Linked DNA regions of Arabidopsis thaliana. The protein of the gene in region 1 interacts with the protein of each later gene in a pairwise test. Each region holds a gene or a part of one and is shown in the gene's direction. Other genes may lie near its edges.

Evidence for each region.
Region 2: the proteins of HAI1 (region 1) and NAC3 interact in a two-hybrid assay, tested with the Arabidopsis thaliana proteins (one large-scale study listed by BioGRID).
Region 3: the proteins of HAI1 (region 1) and AO interact in a two-hybrid assay, tested with the Arabidopsis thaliana proteins (one large-scale study listed by BioGRID).
Region 4: the proteins of HAI1 (region 1) and AT1G22190 interact in a two-hybrid assay, tested with the Arabidopsis thaliana proteins (one large-scale study listed by BioGRID).

Annotation. Positions count from the first base shown.
Region 1 is NC_003076.8:23,893,864-23,898,928, reverse strand, and holds HAI1 (PP2C protein (Clade A protein phosphatases type 2C)), read left to right. Parts: upstream 1-1,989; 5' UTR 1,990-2,431; coding exon 2,432-2,908; intron 2,909-2,991; coding exon 2,992-3,294; intron 3,295-3,663; coding exon 3,664-3,769; coding exon of another isoform or gene 3,770-3,792; exon of another isoform or gene 3,793-3,901; coding exon 3,902-4,257; 3' UTR 4,258-4,525; downstream 4,526-5,065. UniProt on the Arabidopsis thaliana protein: Acts as a negative regulator of abscisic acid (ABA) signaling for stomatal closure in leaves, and controls water loss during leaf senescence. Activated by the NAC029/NAP transcription factor during ABA signaling in senescing leaves.
Region 2 is NC_003074.8:5,232,716-5,236,757, forward strand, and holds NAC3 (NAC domain containing protein 3), read left to right. Parts: upstream 1-1,741; 5' UTR 1,742-2,015; coding exon 2,016-2,196; intron 2,197-2,289; coding exon 2,290-2,558; intron 2,559-2,663; coding exon 2,664-3,167; 3' UTR 3,168-3,481; downstream 3,482-4,042. UniProt on the Arabidopsis thaliana protein: Transcription factors that bind specifically to the 5'-CATGTG-3' motif.
Region 3 is NC_003076.8:4,766,566-4,772,659, forward strand, and holds AO (L-aspartate oxidase), read left to right. Parts: upstream 1-1,697; 5' UTR 1,698-2,177; intron 2,178-2,550; 5' UTR 2,551-2,567; coding exon 2,568-2,695; intron 2,696-2,874; coding exon 2,875-3,226; intron 3,227-3,355; coding exon 3,356-3,598; intron 3,599-3,680; coding exon 3,681-3,737; intron 3,738-3,821; coding exon 3,822-3,902; intron 3,903-4,277; coding exon 4,278-4,339; intron 4,340-4,414; coding exon 4,415-5,447; 3' UTR 5,448-5,588; downstream 5,589-6,094. UniProt on the Arabidopsis thaliana protein: Catalyzes the oxidation of L-aspartate to iminoaspartate. Can complement nadB-deficient E.coli mutant. Plays a role in stomatal immunity.
Region 4 is NC_003070.9:7,834,089-7,837,958, forward strand, and holds AT1G22190 (Integrase-type DNA-binding superfamily protein), read left to right. Parts: upstream 1-1,692; 5' UTR 1,693-2,156; coding exon 2,157-2,942; 3' UTR 2,943-3,323; downstream 3,324-3,870. Other genes in the region: AT1G22200 (Endoplasmic reticulum vesicle transporter protein), read right to left, coding at 3,769-3,860.

The DNA of each region.
Region 1 (5,065 bases):
GGAACTAATTTTCACCTTATATTTTTACATAAGATTTGAAAGTGATGGTTAGTGACTTGTTGGTCGATGACGAATTTGTTTTCAGGTTAAATTTTAATAATAATAATATTTGAAAGAAAGATGAAGCTTTCACGTGGCACAATGTATTTGCCTACTGTCAACTTCAAAAACCTGGCAACTGCTATGCAGCTTCAGAGGACACGTGTCATGTGTTACACACGCGCTTCGTTTTTTTTCAACCTTTTGATTTTGTTTTGTTCTGTGATGTGGGACTCACATAATTCAAATCATCATCCTATTGCTTGCCGCCACGTCCCAGAGAATTTTCCGCGAAAAGCTGAGCTTCTCTCTTTCTTTCCTTAATTTTAGTTAGGTTATGAATTATTTTTGTATTAATACTAACTAACTAAAATATCATCATCACATTACATAAACATAAGATTCATCGGCGTAACGTAAGTAACAGTTAAAGCCCAAATTACAACTCTCGATCCTACTTAATGCATAGTAAACGAATGTTGACACAGAAAAAATCTTGGTCAAGACATAAAAGTAGAGAATGTAAACACGTGTCGAACATCGAGGAAGAAAACAGGTCAGAGAGGGGTCAACGTTGTTAAATGTTAGTAATAGAGAAGTGGTCCCCAGTTTCCACCAAAACCCATCTACGTACTTGTATCTCATTGGATGTCATTCCTGATTGATTTAGAATTGAAAACGTTATATTTTGTTTATTTCTAATTGTTGATTGAATATCTTATAATTTTTGCCCACAAAAGAAAATTATAAGTGTATAATATATAGTTCACTCGAATTTAACATGTCCATTGTCCAATGTAGAACGTATGATCATTTCTGTTTTTCAGTTGCTTTTATTTTAAATTCCCAAAAACCCAATATTGTGTCAAACATTGGAGAATGATGTTCACTTTTATTGTATTCACAAAATGCTACTTATCAACTAAGAAAATTGTAATGTCAAACATAAGATGGTGATATTTTAAAAATAGATGTAAAATTAGTTTAGAACTGTCTGATAAGTCATAAGATTGCACGATTATAAATCATTGAATATTCCGGACACTTGTCAAGATTAAAACCATGAATAAGTTTTCAAATTCATTTTCATCATCTCAATTGTAAAACTAGGTAAGATATCCTTTAAAATCTTTGAATATTAGTTCCCCGGCCCATATAAAATCTCTTAAATATATTTATTTGAAAACTCTGACTGTTTGCACTTGCAGCATAAAAAAAGGGATGAAACAAATGGAACAAATGCAGAACAAAACTAATAGACCAGACAAGTAAAACAAACGAAACAAAACAAGTGTTGAAATGATAACTCACAAATTTGAACTTACTTTTCTAGCAAATAAGAAATTGTTCTAATTAAAAAAAAAAGCATATGCAGTCTCAAATTGTTTCTAAGAAGTATTCACGCACCAAGGTTATATTTGTAGTGACATATTCTACAATTATCACATTTTTCTCTTATGTTTCGTAGTCGCAGATGGTCAATTTTTTCTATAATAATTTGTCCTTGAACACACCAAACTTTAGAAACGATGATATATACCGTATTGTCACGCTCACAATGAAACAAACGCGATGAATCGTCATCACCAGCTAAAAGCCTAAAACACCATCTTAGTTTTCACTCAGATAAAAAGATTATTTGTTTCCAACCTTTCTATTGAATTGATTAGCAGTGATGACGTAATTAGTGATAGTTTATAGTAAAACAAATGGAAGTGGTAATAAATTTACACAACAAAATATGGTAAGAATCTATAAAATAAGAGGTTAAGAGATCTCATGTTATATTAAATGATTGAAAGAAAAACAAACTATTGGTTGATTTCCATATGTAATAGTAAGTTGTGATGAAAGTGATGACGTAATTAGTTGTATTTATAGTAAAACAAATTAAAATGGTAAGGTAAATTTCCACAACAAAACTTGGTAAAAATCTTAAAAAAAAAAAAAGAGGTTTAGAGATCGCATGCGTGTCATCAAAGGTTCTTTTTCACTTTAGGTCTGAGTAGTGTTAGACTTTGATTGGTGCACGTAAGTGTTTCGTATCGCGATTTAGGAGAAGTACGTTTTACACGTGGACACAATCAACGGTCAAGATTTCGTCGTCCAGATAGAGGAGCGATACGTCACGCCATTCAACAATCTCCTCTTCTTCATTCCTTCATTTTGATTTTGAGTTTTGATCTGCCCGTTCAAAAGTCTCGGTCATCTGCCCGTAAATATAAAGATGATTATATTTATTTATATCTTCTGGTGAAAGAAGCTAATATAAAGCTTCCATGGCTAATCTTGTTTAAGCTTCTCTTCTTCTTCTCTCTCCTGTGTCTCGTTCACTAGTTTTTTTTCGGGGGAGAGTGATGGAGTGTGTTTGTTGAATAGTTTTGACGATCACATGGCTGAGATTTGTTACGAGAACGAGACTATGATGATTGAAACGACGGCGACGGTGGTGAAGAAGGCAACGACGACAACGAGGAGACGAGAACGGAGCTCGTCTCAAGCAGCGAGAAGAAGGAGAATGGAGATCCGGAGGTTTAAGTTTGTTTCCGGCGAACAAGAACCTGTCTTCGTCGACGGTGACTTACAGAGGCGGAGGAGAAGAGAATCCACCGTCGCAGCCTCCACCTCCACCGTGTTTTACGAAACGGCGAAGGAAGTTGTCGTCCTATGCGAGTCTCTTAGTTCAACGGTTGTGGCATTGCCTGATCCTGAAGCTTATCCTAAATACGGCGTCGCTTCAGTCTGTGGAAGAAGACGTGAAATGGAAGACGCCGTCGCTGTGCATCCGTTTTTTTCCCGTCATCAGACGGAATATTCATCCACCGGATTTCACTATTGCGGCGTTTACGATGGCCATGGCTGTTCCCATGTACGACGTCGTTTTATTATAAAAATTATCCTTTAATTGACCGTTACGACGTCGGTTTTTAATTTTAATAATATGATGTTTAGGTAGCGATGAAATGTAGAGAAAGACTACACGAGCTAGTCCGTGAAGAGTTTGAAGCTGATGCTGACTGGGAAAAGTCAATGGCGCGTAGCTTCACGCGCATGGACATGGAGGTTGTTGCGTTGAACGCCGATGGTGCGGCAAAATGCCGGTGCGAGCTTCAGAGGCCGGACTGCGACGCGGTGGGATCCACTGCGGTTGTGTCTGTCCTTACGCCGGAGAAAATCATCGTGGCGAATTGCGGTGACTCACGTGCCGTTCTCTGTCGTAACGGCAAAGCCATTGCTTTATCCTCCGATCATAAGGTTTTGTTCGTTTTTTGATAATCTCTCTTGTTTCGTTTATCCATCGTTAAATGTTTATCCGTTAGATCTACGGTTATGGTTTACTCACTGTAATGAAACGAGAATTTCGTTACGTGTTGCGTTCGAAACTTACCTATTAATATTGTTTAATGCATTTTTTATTTATTATTTCATTTATTGGAAATTAGAATCTTCTTTAATGTGCATGCAACACCTGGACGACGATTAAGAATGTTTAATGACTTTTTACTTTTTAGATAGAGGATCTGATAAAGTTTATGAGTTTTAAGATTCTTTAATCCTTCGTGTCACTGTTATCAATGACTATATCATTCTCTCTCTCTCTCTTGTTTAAATTTGTTGTAACAGCCAGACCGTCCGGACGAGCTAGACCGGATTCAAGCAGCGGGTGGTCGTGTTATCTACTGGGATGGCCCACGTGTCCTTGGAGTACTTGCAATGTCACGAGCCATTGGTCAGTTAATTGATTACACTTGACGAAAACACTCTTGTCCCTATCCTAATGTTTGTACAAAGTTTTTCCGTACTTTCAATAATGATGATTATTAACTCTCGTTTCGCCGCGGATTTTTTTTTTTTTTTTCAGGAGATAATTACTTGAAGCCGTATGTAATCAGCAGACCGGAGGTAACCGTGACGGACCGGGCCAACGGAGACGATTTTCTTATTCTCGCAAGTGACGGTCTTTGGGACGTTGTTTCAAACGAAACTGCATGTAGCGTCGTTCGAATGTGTTTGAGAGGAAAAGTCAATGGTCAAGTATCATCATCACCGGAAAGGGAAATGACAGGTGTCGGCGCCGGGAATGTGGTGGTTGGAGGAGGAGATTTGCCAGATAAAGCGTGTGAGGAGGCGTCGCTGTTGCTGACGAGGCTTGCGTTGGCTAGACAAAGTTCGGACAACGTAAGTGTTGTGGTGGTTGATCTACGACGAGACACGTAGTTGTATTTGTCTCTCTCGTAATGTTTGTTGTTTTTTGTCCTGAGTCATCGACTTTTGGGCTTTTTCTTTTAACCTTTTTTGCTCTTCGGTGTAAGACAACGAAGGGTTTTTAATTTAGCTTGACTATGGGTTATGTCAGTCACTGTGTTGAATCGCGGTTTAGATCTACAAAGATTTTCACCAGTAGTGAAAATGGTAAAAAGCCGTGAAATGTGAAAGACTTGAGTTCAATTTAATTTTAAATTTAATAGAATCAGTTGATCATAACAAAATCTTACCTTTTTAAATTTATTTTTTGTTATATATAGGACGATGTTTATAGGAATATTAGAAATGTTAGACTGATATCTTTAAGAATAGGAAAAGAACCAAATATTTACTAAGGAATTTGTTTTCAAGTGTATTTTGTAACTAAACAAGGCAAACAATCGGTATAGAATACTTCAAAGGTTAATTGGGAGGATTCAATATTATAACATTTTTTTCTTATTATGTAAAACGTTTTTTTTTTTTTTTTGCCAACATAATCTATAAAACATGTTTATATAACTCTTCATCAAACGGGTATGGTTCACACTTTATCATGTGACATATTAGAAGATGTCGATCATTAAGACTGAACATTGTTTAAAGTACTTAGAAATCAAAATGATGATTCAAGCTTTGATAACTTCCAACCGTTTCCAACCGCCAAACTTTGGTAACTTTTTTAGAATCGAACTCCTAGCTATCGCCTAACGATTTTTTTGAACATTCTCGTTTTTTTTTCTTTTAAATGTCTTTGCAATTGCATAAACTGGTTTTTTTT
Region 2 (4,042 bases), on another chromosome or scaffold:
CCATTACAATGTAAAGCATTCGAGTTCGAATTTCATTGGCGCACTTTGATTTTATATAGGAAGATTGAGGTTAAGTTGTAATAAGTGTGATATTCATATTATTATTGGAAGTTTATTGGTTTAGCCATATGGTTTATTCAGCAAACCATTAACTAAACTCACATGTCAAAAGTTGAAACTTATACCACCTTGATATCCACGTCATCAATTCTTAATACACTTTTGTATTTTGACCCAAATTTACGGGGTTACACGTTATGTAATTATGATATATGCATGACATACACGTTATGATATATGCATGACATCGCTAAAATAGCATAATGTTAATTAGTTATCTAAAACTAAAGACCTGTGTGTGGATATTATCTTCCAACATTAACAAAAAAATCCCGAAAAGGAGAAGAACAAAAGCTTTTAAAAAAACTTTGATCACCCCGTTCTATACCAATTGATGTATCTTTAATGGAAGAGAACCATTATAAATAGAAACGAATTAACACCAAATGCACCGTGACACGAAAGATATTGAGTGTAAGAAACCCCAAATTCCTTGTTATATTCGCTTAGAATTATTTTTACAGCACCATGTACATGTGATCACAAGATATCAATTAAAGTTAGCTAATTAACTTTATTTTTCATTTTTTGGGCTACTAGTTTGCTAATTAACTTTTTACCGAGAAAAAACTATCAGTAGAAAGCCAAAAAATTCAATGAATAAGAAAAAAAAAAAAAAAGCCTAAACTTACATACATATATGATATATCTACGATAAATTTGCTGATAAACGATCTGACTTCTAACTAAGATTCCTGTTTTACCTATTTTAAAAAAAAATCGAGAACCATGAATCAAAGCTCAACTATGTTAATCATGATTGAAATCACGTACGTTCTCGAATGCTTAAATAAATATGTTAATCAATAAACCGCCATAAATTGGTTAAATATAAATCTACTTGCAAGAAAATTGTAATTGAACTTTATTTTCAATTGGTAAAATGTTCCTTTTTCACGTACACAAAAAAGTGTTTGAAGAGAAGCGTGTTTGTGTTATACGGACTTACGAAAATCTTGTGTTCCCATTTCTCAACCACAAAAGCCTAATTTCTTGGTACCTCTGATTGTATACTATCGTTTCACAATTACAGTTTCATCTGATTTCAATCAAAAATTACAGTCTCATATGGATCAAATAGAAAAATAACGAGAGTCTGCATCATCAACTCGTGTTTGTTGTTTGTCCCTCTCTCTGATCTTTAACGGCTTTTGACGAAAGAAAAATATCCCGCCTAACTCAACCAATAGACACAAGACATGTGTCGGCTTGTGGTAGTTCTATCCGTATGAAAAACGCTTTCCATGTTACCATCCAGTGAACTCATCCCATCATTCACTTACACGTGTTTTTTCTTCTTGACGACCAAAAAAAAACAATTTGGCACATACCCATTAAAAAAAAAATACTTCTTATTTTTCATAATACTTTTCGTAGATTGTCACTGTTATGTAACTCATTCATAGAAATTTACCGCGTAAATTGCATGAAAAATCACTAGTCTTAAGAATCACCTAATTTGTTTTTCTGAACTTACAAATATTCGCAAATTACTTTCAGTTAACTCCCTAATACTTGGGAAGACCATTGACAATACAAAAAAAAAATCATAAGAGGAGGTACAGTCACACACACAATATTACAACATTACTAATATAAATAATCAACTTTATGGTATAGGTTCAAAGAACCAAAGGGATCGCATAAATCACGACGCTCTAATTGATCCACGTGTCATGATAAACATAAAGTGGGACCCGTATTGAGGCTGCACGTTAACGAAGATTGGGCGGCGGTGTAATATTATATTATATATATACATACACGAGTAGCAGAGCTTCGAAATCTTTAATCTCAGAATACAAAAAAGAAAATCAAAGAAGATAGTTTTGTGATTGTTTTCTATAAAAAGTGCAGATATTTTCTTTGTCCTAGAGAAAGAGGTGATAGGAAAAATGGGTCTCCAAGAGCTTGACCCGTTAGCCCAATTGAGCTTACCGCCGGGTTTTCGGTTTTATCCGACTGACGAAGAGCTGATGGTTGAATATCTCTGTAGAAAAGCCGCCGGTCACGACTTCTCTCTCCAGCTCATAGCTGAAATCGATCTCTACAAGTTTGATCCATGGGTTTTACCAAGTACGTATAACCTAATAACCTTAACCGTGTTTGGTTTCTTTGTAGCTAGTTATGTTTTTTTCTCTTCTAACTTGTCTTTTTGGTTCTTTGTAGGTAAGGCGTTATTCGGTGAAAAAGAATGGTATTTTTTCAGCCCGAGGGATAGGAAGTATCCAAACGGGTCAAGACCTAATCGGGTTGCCGGGTCGGGTTATTGGAAAGCCACCGGTACGGATAAAGTTATCTCGACGGAGGGAAGAAGAGTTGGTATCAAGAAAGCTTTGGTGTTTTACATTGGAAAAGCTCCAAAAGGAACCAAAACCAATTGGATTATGCATGAGTACCGTCTCATCGAACCCTCTCGTCGAAATGGAAGCACCAAGGTATAAATTTAGTTAAATACATGATGTATCCAAAAAGATAAGTATATAGTAATTGTAATTATACTGTTCAACGAATAACATATTTTAAACTGTTTTTATGTTCAGCTTGATGATTGGGTTTTATGTCGAATATACAAAAAGCAAACAAGCGCACAAAAACAAGCTTACAATAATCTAATGACGAGTGGTCGTGAATACAGCAACAATGGTTCGTCGACATCTTCTTCGTCTCATCAATACGACGACGTTCTCGAGTCGTTGCATGAGATTGACAACAGAAGTTTGGGGTTTGCCGCCGGTTCATCAAACGCGCTGCCTCATAGTCATAGACCGGTTTTAACCAATCATAAAACCGGGTTTCAGGGTTTAGCCAGGGAGCCAAGTTTTGATTGGGCGAATTTGATTGGACAGAACTCGGTCCCGGAACTCGGACTGAGTCATAACGTTCCGAGTATTCGTTACGGTGACGGTGGAACGCAGCAACAAACTGAGGGGATTCCTCGGTTTAATAATAACTCGGACGTCTCGGCTAATCAGGGTTTTAGTGTTGACCCGGTTAACGGATTTGGGTACTCGGGTCAACAATCTAGTGGGTTCGGGTTTATTTGATTGTGTAATGGTAACGTAATAAGAAAAACATATTTTTATTTTTTGTCCGTGTCAGATTAGTTAATTAATATAGCGTAGAATTCGAACTCTAGGGTTAGATTTAGGTTCTACGACTTGTATTGTATATTCGTCGTCATTTGTCCTGACATTTACATTTTTGTAAACTTTTATAGCTGGAACTTTTGTATTGATCAATTATTTATTAGAAAAACAGATATTGCATTGGATCTATAAGTTTTGTACTTGCTATTGCTAACGATAAACGATAGAAATGTGAAAGTTTCCTTATCATTCATGACACATTTTTGTGTCAACATCATGTAGTATTATCATTAACAACGAATCAGCGATTCATAATTTATTATATTAATCGCCATAATATATCGATAATCTAGGAACCATAAAGCGAATATGACTTTGCTCGCTATCGCTCATCGTTTAATATTAGTACCAGCTAAAACGAACAATAGATTTGTCATCATCTTTCGCTGATGACGGTAACCATATCATAGCGAACATGACCAAAAATGTATGTTTATCTGAGATGATTTCTAGCCTATAGCACTAGTATACTTTTGTAAAATATAAAAATACTATTTATATAAACACATGTGGCATAAAGAAATTTCGCACGCGATAGTTGTGTATATATTCATTTATGTGCAATGGCATTTGCAAGCCGTAAGGTTTGAAATAGTAATATTGTACAGCTGTTTAAAGAACGTTCAAAATTTGTTAGAGAAATTGATATATATATATTTAAAAGGATATGGATAAAGATGTTATATTGTTTAATGGGAAAAGGATAGTGATGGTATTAGATGGCCAAATCTTAAAGACCAATTGGGGTTTGAAGATAAGAACAGAGAACGGAC
Region 3 (6,094 bases), about 19 Mb from region 1:
ATGTCGTAGAATGTATGATTGAGGAATTTGATGGACCTAAGTACCTAACACTCATTTATTCACAATCTTATCATTTAATTTTGTTTGATTCTAATATCAGGTTTGATATTCTATACATGGCCAAGGAATTTGTGATTCACAAGTTTACCATCTTTTCAAAATCATGTAATGATTTATGCTACGAACTAAATGATATATTTAAATAGACTTTATTTATGTTAATTATATAATATGATAAATATAGCTAATTCTTATTGATACTAATTATATTGTTGAGGTTCTATCATTAATTTACGTGGTGAAACTGCAATTTGATTTGCGGAAATGATCTTATATCATTAGAAGGAACAACTAGGACACTGCTCTTTTACATATGTGCGAGTTTTACCAATAAGATATTGACTAACTACGAGACGAACATTAGTATTTGCTAATGTGTTTCGCTGATTTTCTAGGTTTTAGTCGTGACGTGAAATTCAGTAAGAAGCACAACGAAATGCCATCGGCTCATGTGTGTGAAAAAATTAAAAATTTATGGGCTGAACAATTCTAATTGCATGATGATTCGGGTTTAATTTAGGCCTCTGGAAAATCCAGGGCTTATTTCCATGCAAAATCTTAGGTCAGTATTGGGCCCGCCTTTCAAAAGCCCAATTTTAATTATTCGTTTTTGTTGTCCGATAAAAAATCCAGAAGAAGTCATCTCTCCCCTTAAAAACGGTAGTCAAAACTAAAAGACTCAAAGTGATTTCCAGTAAGTTTTGTAGAAAATAAAATAATTGTGGCCATTGGAGATTTAGCAAGGCTCATGGAAAAGTGATTGTTCTTTTTTCCCCATGATTCTAGTTATAAGGCCATCCTTGATGCATACATCAACACCATGACTGGTCCAAAATAGCATAGGTCTAAAGATGATGAAGCAAATGATAATCAGTTTATTCCGATAGAAGCAAATGAGGATGTCATCAATTGTGGATGTTATACCTGATTAGTTAAGCAAACCATTAGCACTATGTTTAGTTAGAAAAGAAGGAAATTATGATAGCCATAAAAATGCCAACATTTTCCCTTTTAAATTGCATTCGTGGTTTTTGAAATTTTATTATTTAATTAATTTGTTTTCTTTCAGTTGTCATTTGAATGGTTATCATAATTCGGTCTTATATTATTGATTTTTATTATTCGTTAGGTTTTTTTCAGTTGTCTGATGGAAAATTCAGAAGCCACCACTTACAAATCAAAAGTATAAAAAAAGACTCAAAAGAAGACTCCAAAATCCAAATAGTTTTTCTCCATTTTTTTTTTCTTTTTCCAGAAATTATAGTTATAGAAATAAATAGTTGTGGCCGTTGGAGATTTGCATTGGCCACGAGTCATGGAAAAGTGAATGTTCTTTTTCCATGATTCTTCTAGTCGGTCATGCTTGGTGCATGTATGAACACATATTTAAAGTTCTATACAAGTTGTTAGAATTCTTTTAAATTTAATTTGCTTTATTTATTTTTTTAGTTTTAGTTTTGGAAAATCATGGTCACACATCTTGAGCTACCGTTGTTATTTATATATAAATGTTCTTAATATTAAAAAATTATGAACCACAGGGCTAATAAACTTGAATATTTGTAGGGTCAATGGCTTTATTAATGTGTATATTTGTAGAAGAAAGCTGGGAAATATTCTATAAGTAAATTATCATCTTATACACTAATTTTTTAAAAATCCACGCCTAGTAATAAATTCCAATTTTTTTTAACTCAGTAATAAATTCCATTTTTTATTAAAAGTTTATTTCATAGAAGTACTTTTTTTTTTATGTGATAAAAGAAAAACTGAAGAAGGCCAATGAAAAATGAAGATCCCAAAGACATAAAAAGTGACAAAAGAGAAGAATAAAGAAAGACCAACAACACCACTTGGGGGAGGCTCCCATACACAAAACGAAGGCGCGAATTTCAAGGACTCTTCTCGACGACCAAACCACATAAAACACTCTTACCAGAATTTGTGTTGTCTTCGTTCATTTCCTTCTCCTCTTCTTCTTCTTCTTCGTCGTAATTTTGATTGTTTCTTTGCGAAAAGTCGTTTTTTTAATCAAGTCTGAATCACGTTTTATTGATCTACACTCGCGTGGGTTCTCCGTTTCGTGCTTAGATCAGAGAGCTCCCTCCCGTGATTCCGTAAGATTTCTGCGTTTCTCATTACTTGGTTTCATTTCAACGTAGATTCTGAATTTTGTGTGATCTAGTCTACACATTTTTTTTTAATTCTTTCCTCTGCTCCTAAATTCCAGAATTCAGACAACGGTTGCGATATTTCTTATGTCTTTTTTTCTATCGTTGTTCATTTCAGAAGTTTCGATATAAAAAAGGTTATTGTTGGATTTTGAGTAACACATTGTCCTCAATTCTCATCGTTCTTCAATCAAATTTTGGATTTTGAGCATCATGGATGATGGATCTATGCATTTTGATTTTATATTGTACAGAAAGAATGTTTCTTGTTTTGTTTTGATGATGTTTTCTTATGACAACAATCTTCATGTTTTTGTAGGAGCTTTAAGGTCGGAAATGGCGGCTCATGTTTCTACTGGAAACATTCATAATTTCTATCTTGCGGGGCAGGTTTACAGGGGACAAGCTTTTTCATGGAGTTCTGCTTCTACTTTCATGGCAAATCCATTCAAAGAGCCCTCTTGGTATCACTTCTTTTAATCTTTAATCCCAAATTTTGTCCCTTTTGTGTAGCAATTGGCATTTTGAGGTTCATGTTTCTCATTTATGATTTTGCTCTTTGTTCTCATGTAGAACTTTAACTAGTTAGACCTATAGTTTCTCATGCTGGACTCAAACTTTTATAATCTCTGTGTGCATATAGGTCAAGTGGGGTATTTAAGGCTCTAAAAGCTGAGAGATGTGGTTGTTACTCTCGTGGTATTTCCCCCATCAGTGAGACCTCAAAACCTATCAGGGCTGTTTCGGTATCTTCTTCAACAAAGTATTATGATTTCACTGTGATTGGTAGTGGAGTAGCGGGTCTGCGTTATGCTTTAGAAGTTGCAAAGCAAGGAACAGTCGCAGTGATTACCAAAGATGAGCCTCATGAGAGTAACACAAACTATGCTCAAGGTGGTGTTAGTGCTGTGTTATGCCCTTTGGATTCTGTTGAAAGTCATATGCGGGACACTATGGTCGCTGGTGCTCATCTTTGTGATGAAGAAACCGTAAGAGTAAGTTCCCTTTGTTGCTGATCATTACCTCAAAACTGTTTGATAAGTGCTTGTGTTAGTCTCGTGCATAAGCATTTTGTAATGGTCTAAACCTGTCTCACTTTTCTGTATCTGAATGTTCTTTTTCAGGTTGTGTGTACTGAAGGGCCTGAAAGGATTCGTGAACTGATTGCAATGGGAGCATCATTTGATCACGGCGAGGATGGAAATTTGCATTTGGCCAGAGAGGGTGGTCACTCGCATTGTAGGATCGTTCACGCTGCTGATATGACAGGAAGAGAGATTGAGAGAGCTTTACTTGAAGCTGTACTTAATGATCCCAACATATCTGTCTTCAAACACCATTTTGCAATCGATCTGCTCACTTCTCAGGTTCCACTTCACACCCTTGAAAAACACATGTGCATATATGATCAATTGGCTTATCAGATCATATCTTTTTGTATCTTAACAGGATGGCTTGAACACAGTTTGTCATGGTGTGGACACTTTGAATATCAAAACTAATGAGGTACACAAAGATCTTGTTTCTGGTGGTTTGATCATTCACCTTATATCTTAGATTGTAATGTAAAAAAAACTCATGTTTCTTCAGGTAGTACGCTTTATATCGAAGGTGACATTGCTTGCTTCAGGTGGAGCTGGGCATATCTATCCATCAACCACAAATCCTCTGGTAACATTTTCTATAGACTCTCTTTTTAACAAAGCTCTATGGAAGTTTCATTTTACCAATTTTATCAGAAGAAAGAATGTGCAGGATCAACACAACAGTTTTGTGTGTTTATGGGAAATATCCAAAAATGAAACTTTGATTAAGTAATGTGATTTATCCCTTGAATACAAAAGAAAATGTCGAAATTATCACGGGTATACACAAACATACTGCATTAGAGTTTTAGATTTAATAGTTCAAACAGTTGCAGAAACAAAGAGATTTTAGTCATAGAGTACATTTTTTTGCTAAATTCGGTTGTGCTAGTCGCAATGATATTTCTCTAAAAGTGATATATTATGCTCCATTTTAATTATCGACATGGTTTTTGTATAGGTGGCTACTGGAGATGGGATGGCGATGGCTCATCGAGCTCAAGCTGTGATCTCAAATATGGAGTAAGTGAACACCGAAAAACCGACTGAAGAAACTTGTTGACAATAAACTTATGTTTTGTATTTGTTTTTGGTTAGATTTGTGCAGTTTCATCCTACTGCCCTAGCCGACGAAGGTCTTCCCATCAAACTACAAACTGCTAGGGAAAACGCGTTCCTCATCACCGAGGCGGTGAGAGGTGATGGTGGCATCCTCTATAATCTAGGAATGGAGCGATTCATGCCTGTTTACGATGAACGAGCTGAGCTTGCTCCAAGAGACGTGGTTGCAAGAAGTATTGATGACCAGCTTAAGAAACGAAACGAAAAGTATGTGTTACTTGACATAAGCCATAAGCCAAGAGAAAAGATTCTTGCCCATTTCCCGAACATAGCTTCTGAATGTCTTAAACACGGTCTGGATATCACCCGTCAGCCTATTCCGGTTGTCCCTGCAGCCCATTACATGTGTGGAGGAGTTCGTGCTGGTTTACAAGGCGAAACCAATGTCCTTGGATTGTTTGTAGCAGGTGAAGTAGCATGTACAGGCCTCCACGGGGCAAATCGTCTTGCTAGTAACTCGCTTTTAGAAGCTCTGGTTTTCGCGAGACGGGCTGTTCAGCCTTCGACTGAGCTCATGAAACGCACAAGACTTGATGTATGCGCATCAGAGAAATGGACAAGGCCTGTTGTTGCGACAGCTAGATTGCTAGGAGATGAAGTAATAGCAAAGATTATAGCTTTGACTAAAGAAGTGAGAAGAGAGCTTCAGGAGGTAATGTGGAAGTATGTTGGTATTGTCAGATCGACAATTCGGCTCACCACTGCTGAGAGGAAAATCGCAGAGCTAGAAGCAAAATGGGAAACATTTTTGTTTGAACATGGATGGGAACAAACAGTGGTAGCTCTTGAAGCTTGTGAGATGAGAAACTTGTTCTGTTGCGCTAAGCTTGTGGTGAGCAGCGCGTTAGCTAGACATGAAAGCAGAGGTCTTCATTACATGACAGACTTTCCTTTTGTGGAAGAAAGCAAGCGGATTCCGACGATTATTCTACCGTCTTCTCCTACAACAGCTAGTTGGAGCTCAAGGCGGTTACAGAATATAAGTAGCAGCTCACTTATTGATTGCTAAAACTGCAGGAGTTTTTGTTCTTATTTGAATCCAAACCTCTCTGATTATTGTATCAATTTGAAAAAATTTGGATCTCAAAAGGAATCTCTGATTCTGACACTCTGTAATACAAAAGGAAATAAATTATTCATTTGAGATATCAATCATATTGGTAATTCATATTTCAATTCCTTTGTTATGGTTTATTGATGACTTTCTGAATGAAAGAAACAACTGTGAGTGTGGATTTCCCAAGCAAGAAGCAGGATTGAGAACAGTCTTGTGTTCACTGACTCCATATCCTCGGTTCCTTTTTTTTCTGAGTAAATCATTCCAAAAGCTTCTATCCTTCTCCTGAGGAAATCACGAGCTCCAAGCTCGGGTATGGCTTCCATGACCAGACCAAACATGAATTCATTCTTCCTGTCTTCTTCAACTAGACCAGGGTGTGATCTGAGAAGGCTGCACAAAGGCACATCCATTAATAATCAGAGATCTCTTCTGCAATGTCGCTTTAGAACAGCCTAGTTACTAGTTACATCCAGAAACCAGCTAGATCATAAGTCTTGCCTGCTCTGCAGCTGCCATCGCCGTTCTGCTACAATGAAATTCAAAGGGTATTTTCAGGAGATAGTTTTGGCTCGTGCAATTTGATTTAACAAAGAATA
Region 4 (3,870 bases), on another chromosome or scaffold:
GTGTGATGATGTATCATTTATATGGAGAGTGTAGGCCAATTTTCATATATATATGATTTTGAATAAAAAGAAAAATTCAAAAGGAGAAAAATAGGCAGCAAAAAGCTGTCAGTTATTACATACAGCTAAGACTTGAGTAATGATTTTGTAGTTGACTATTTCATTTCCCCTGTGGACACGCTCGGCTTACGGTTATGAAATCATGCGTTGGAGTTTTTCTTGCTTTTCCCTTTTCTCATGCGTAGAGTTTTTTTTCTTTCTTTACAATTTGTTTAACCATAGTTTTATAGGTTTGTAGCTATATGAGTGGTTAATTTATGGTCTAGCTAATTGGTCTTTTTCTTATTCAGTTTTTGCATTAAATGTAGATATCAATACTGAAAGTTGACTTTTATCAAAAATACATAACAAAGTATAAGAAAAATAACGCTTAGACAAGTTATTACACATATGCAATGTTCACCAAAGCAAGCAAGTACGAAATATACATGCATATGATAATACATGTAAACGAGATAAATCAGCATCGTAAAGATGAACTGGTAACACGGACACGAGCCATCCACATGGGTGGTACCTCCTTATGCGCGTCTTCCCTCAAAATATTGATCATTATAAAATGATGACACCATAGTCTAACCTTGCAAATTGACGCCGTATTGATTGTAGTGACATTTGTACACGATTACACGAAGCAATAAATTAAGTGATGCAACTCTATAAGATATCGTAAGATGATGAAATGTTTAATAAACTAATTAAATGGATGATATAATACGGAATTGACATTTGAGGAGTTCTCAGCCATTCATTCTAACCCTCTAGACCCTTCTTTTTTAATCTTGTATGATTTATTATCTAAATAAAAGTCTAAACCACTCATTAACATGATATCATCATTACATTGCGAGCCAAAATTATTGCTTAACAATCATGAAGTCTACGTGTGTCACATTCGGAACCTCCGAATAATTATTTTTATACTTTTTCGGTTTGATATACTTCAATATATACTATTAATTTGGATAATCTCATTCTTAATATTCTCTCAGTTCCATTTTATTGAAAATTTTCAGAAGTTTTGTTTTCGCATATATACAAAAGAATTCTAAATCTACTAGCTGGACTAGTGGACCAATTGTTGGACGCCTCTACCAAATAAATCGTAAAAATATGTTGATTTCAATTTTATCAATTTGGCTGGAATCGAAGTGCTCGTGTACATTAGTTTCAACCGCTTAGAAAGACGTCTAGCTAAATGAGTAGACAACCATTTTTTTAACTAATCTTTTAAAATTTATGGAGTTGTGTACGTCCACTCACTTCTATTTGAATAGAAAAAAGATTAATATGGTTATGGAAGAAACGTCCCATAAAGCCGGTGTGAATGTAATATAATGAAATGATTCTCCATCAAACTATGATTGTAAAATTAAAACGCTTCGATTATAGAATAAACTTGTAGAAACATTTTAACTTGTAAAAATTAACCATTCTAAAACAAAACTTGTTAAAACTCAACTTACAAACAATGTTTGATTGAAATTGAATATATATTATTTGGAGTACGTAAACATGGATGATCTTATCTGAAATAGTACATAAAATAACAAAAGAAAAAATTAATTAAACATATAAATTTGAGAAATATGAGGAGGATGGAAAAAAGAAGTCACGCCACGCCTCCTATATAAACAAGAGCCAAGCTAATGAGATAAGTGTATCGGTGAGGCTGAGAGTTATTCACTTACAAAAAAAAAAAAAAACTTGAGTGTAACCAAAAAAAAAAGTTGATATACTTTCTGGTTTTCTCCTTAACTTTTATTCTTTACAAATCCATCCCCCTTAGATCTGTTTATTTCCCGCTACTTTGATTCATTTCTGTTAGTAATCTGTCTTTCGTATAGAAGAAAACTGATTTCTTGGTTTGTATTTTCTTAAAGAGATCAATCTTTTTTTATTTTTGATCTTCTTGTGTTTTTTTTTCTTTGTAGAATTAATCGTTTGTGAGGGTATTTTTTTAATTCCCTCCTCTCAGAAATCTACACAGAGGTTTTTTATTTTATAAACCTCTTTTTCGATTTTCTTGAAAACAAAAAATCCTGTTCTTTACTTTTTTTACAAGAACAAGGGAAAAAAATTTCTTTTTATTAGAAATGACAACTTCTATGGATTTTTACAGTAACAAAACGTTTCAACAATCTGATCCATTCGGTGGTGAATTAATGGAAGCGCTTTTACCTTTTATCAAAAGCCCTTCCAACGATTCATCCGCGTTTGCGTTCTCTCTACCCGCTCCAATTTCATACGGGTCGGATCTCCACTCATTTTCTCACCATCTTAGTCCTAAACCGGTCTCAATGAAACAAACCGGTACTTCCGCGGCTAAACCGACGAAGCTATACAGAGGAGTGAGACAACGTCACTGGGGAAAATGGGTGGCTGAGATTCGTTTACCGAGGAATCGAACTCGACTTTGGCTCGGAACATTCGACACGGCGGAGGAAGCTGCTTTAGCTTATGACAAGGCGGCGTATAAGCTCCGAGGAGATTTTGCGCGGCTTAATTTCCCTGATCTCCGTCATAACGACGAGTATCAACCTCTTCAATCATCAGTCGACGCTAAGCTTGAAGCTATTTGTCAAAACTTAGCTGAGACGACGCAGAAACAGGTGAGATCAACGAAGAAGTCTTCTTCTCGGAAACGTTCATCAACCGTCGCAGTGAAACTACCGGAGGAGGACTACTCTAGCGCCGGATCTTCGCCGCTGTTAACGGAGAGTTATGGATCTGGTGGATCTTCTTCGCCGTTGTCGGAGCTGACGTTTGGTGATACGGAGGAGGAGATTCAGCCGCCGTGGAACGAGAACGCGTTGGAGAAGTATCCGTCGTACGAGATCGATTGGGATTCGATTCTTCAGTGTTCGAGTCTTGTAAATTAGATGTTGCCATAGGGGTATTTTAGGGACTTTAGAGCTCTCTGCGATGGAGTTTTTGGTCATTGCAGAGATTTTATTATTATTAAGGGGGTTTGTTATGTTAATATCAAATAAGTTTATCTACTTTGATGTTAATTAGTGTTAATCTCTGCGTCGGTCCAAGCTGTTTTTTTTTGGCATGCTTCGACCGTGTGAGATTTCTTATGTAATTTTTGTAGTTCCTTGATTTTCTTAGTTCAAGTTAAATTGGCACAAAAGAACAACGATCAAAGTAGAAGAAACTAAATTCCTTAACTATAAAAACTTGATTGGTATGAAACTGCAAAAACTCCTTCTAAATCTACAAAACATGTAACTCACTTCTCGTAATAACTAAATTCTGGAAGTGTTGCTTAGACTGTAAATGAGGAAGCATCCTGAATCAACTTTAGTGTATTTCAATCCATGGCTTTAAGCTAATCTAAGAAACCACTTTCTCTGATTATCAACAAACGTAGACACTTAAAAAAACAAGGCTTTAGTTTAATAACATAAAGCAAGATCGGTATCTTCAGATTTAGACTACACTTTAAACAAATGAGCTCAAATTAAATAGGAAAAATTAACATTCGTTTCAATCGGTGATAACAACATTTTACACTTTGTATGTTGCCTATGAAGAGATAGTGAATAGTGAAAGGCAAAGTTCAGATCCTGGAATATCTTACAGTACTACAAAATTCTTTAAATCATCGCATTGTCACAAATTCAAACCTAATGTCTAACTGTAAAACCCGTAGAGATGATTCTCCAGTAGCTGATCAAGAAAGTGTGGAGAATATCAAACAACTCAGTTGAATTTACCAATCTCCATTTTCTTCTTAATTGCTCGTTGTCCATGGTATATGAACGAATCTACTATTCCCGATACCGTGAAGATACCTGCAAATCA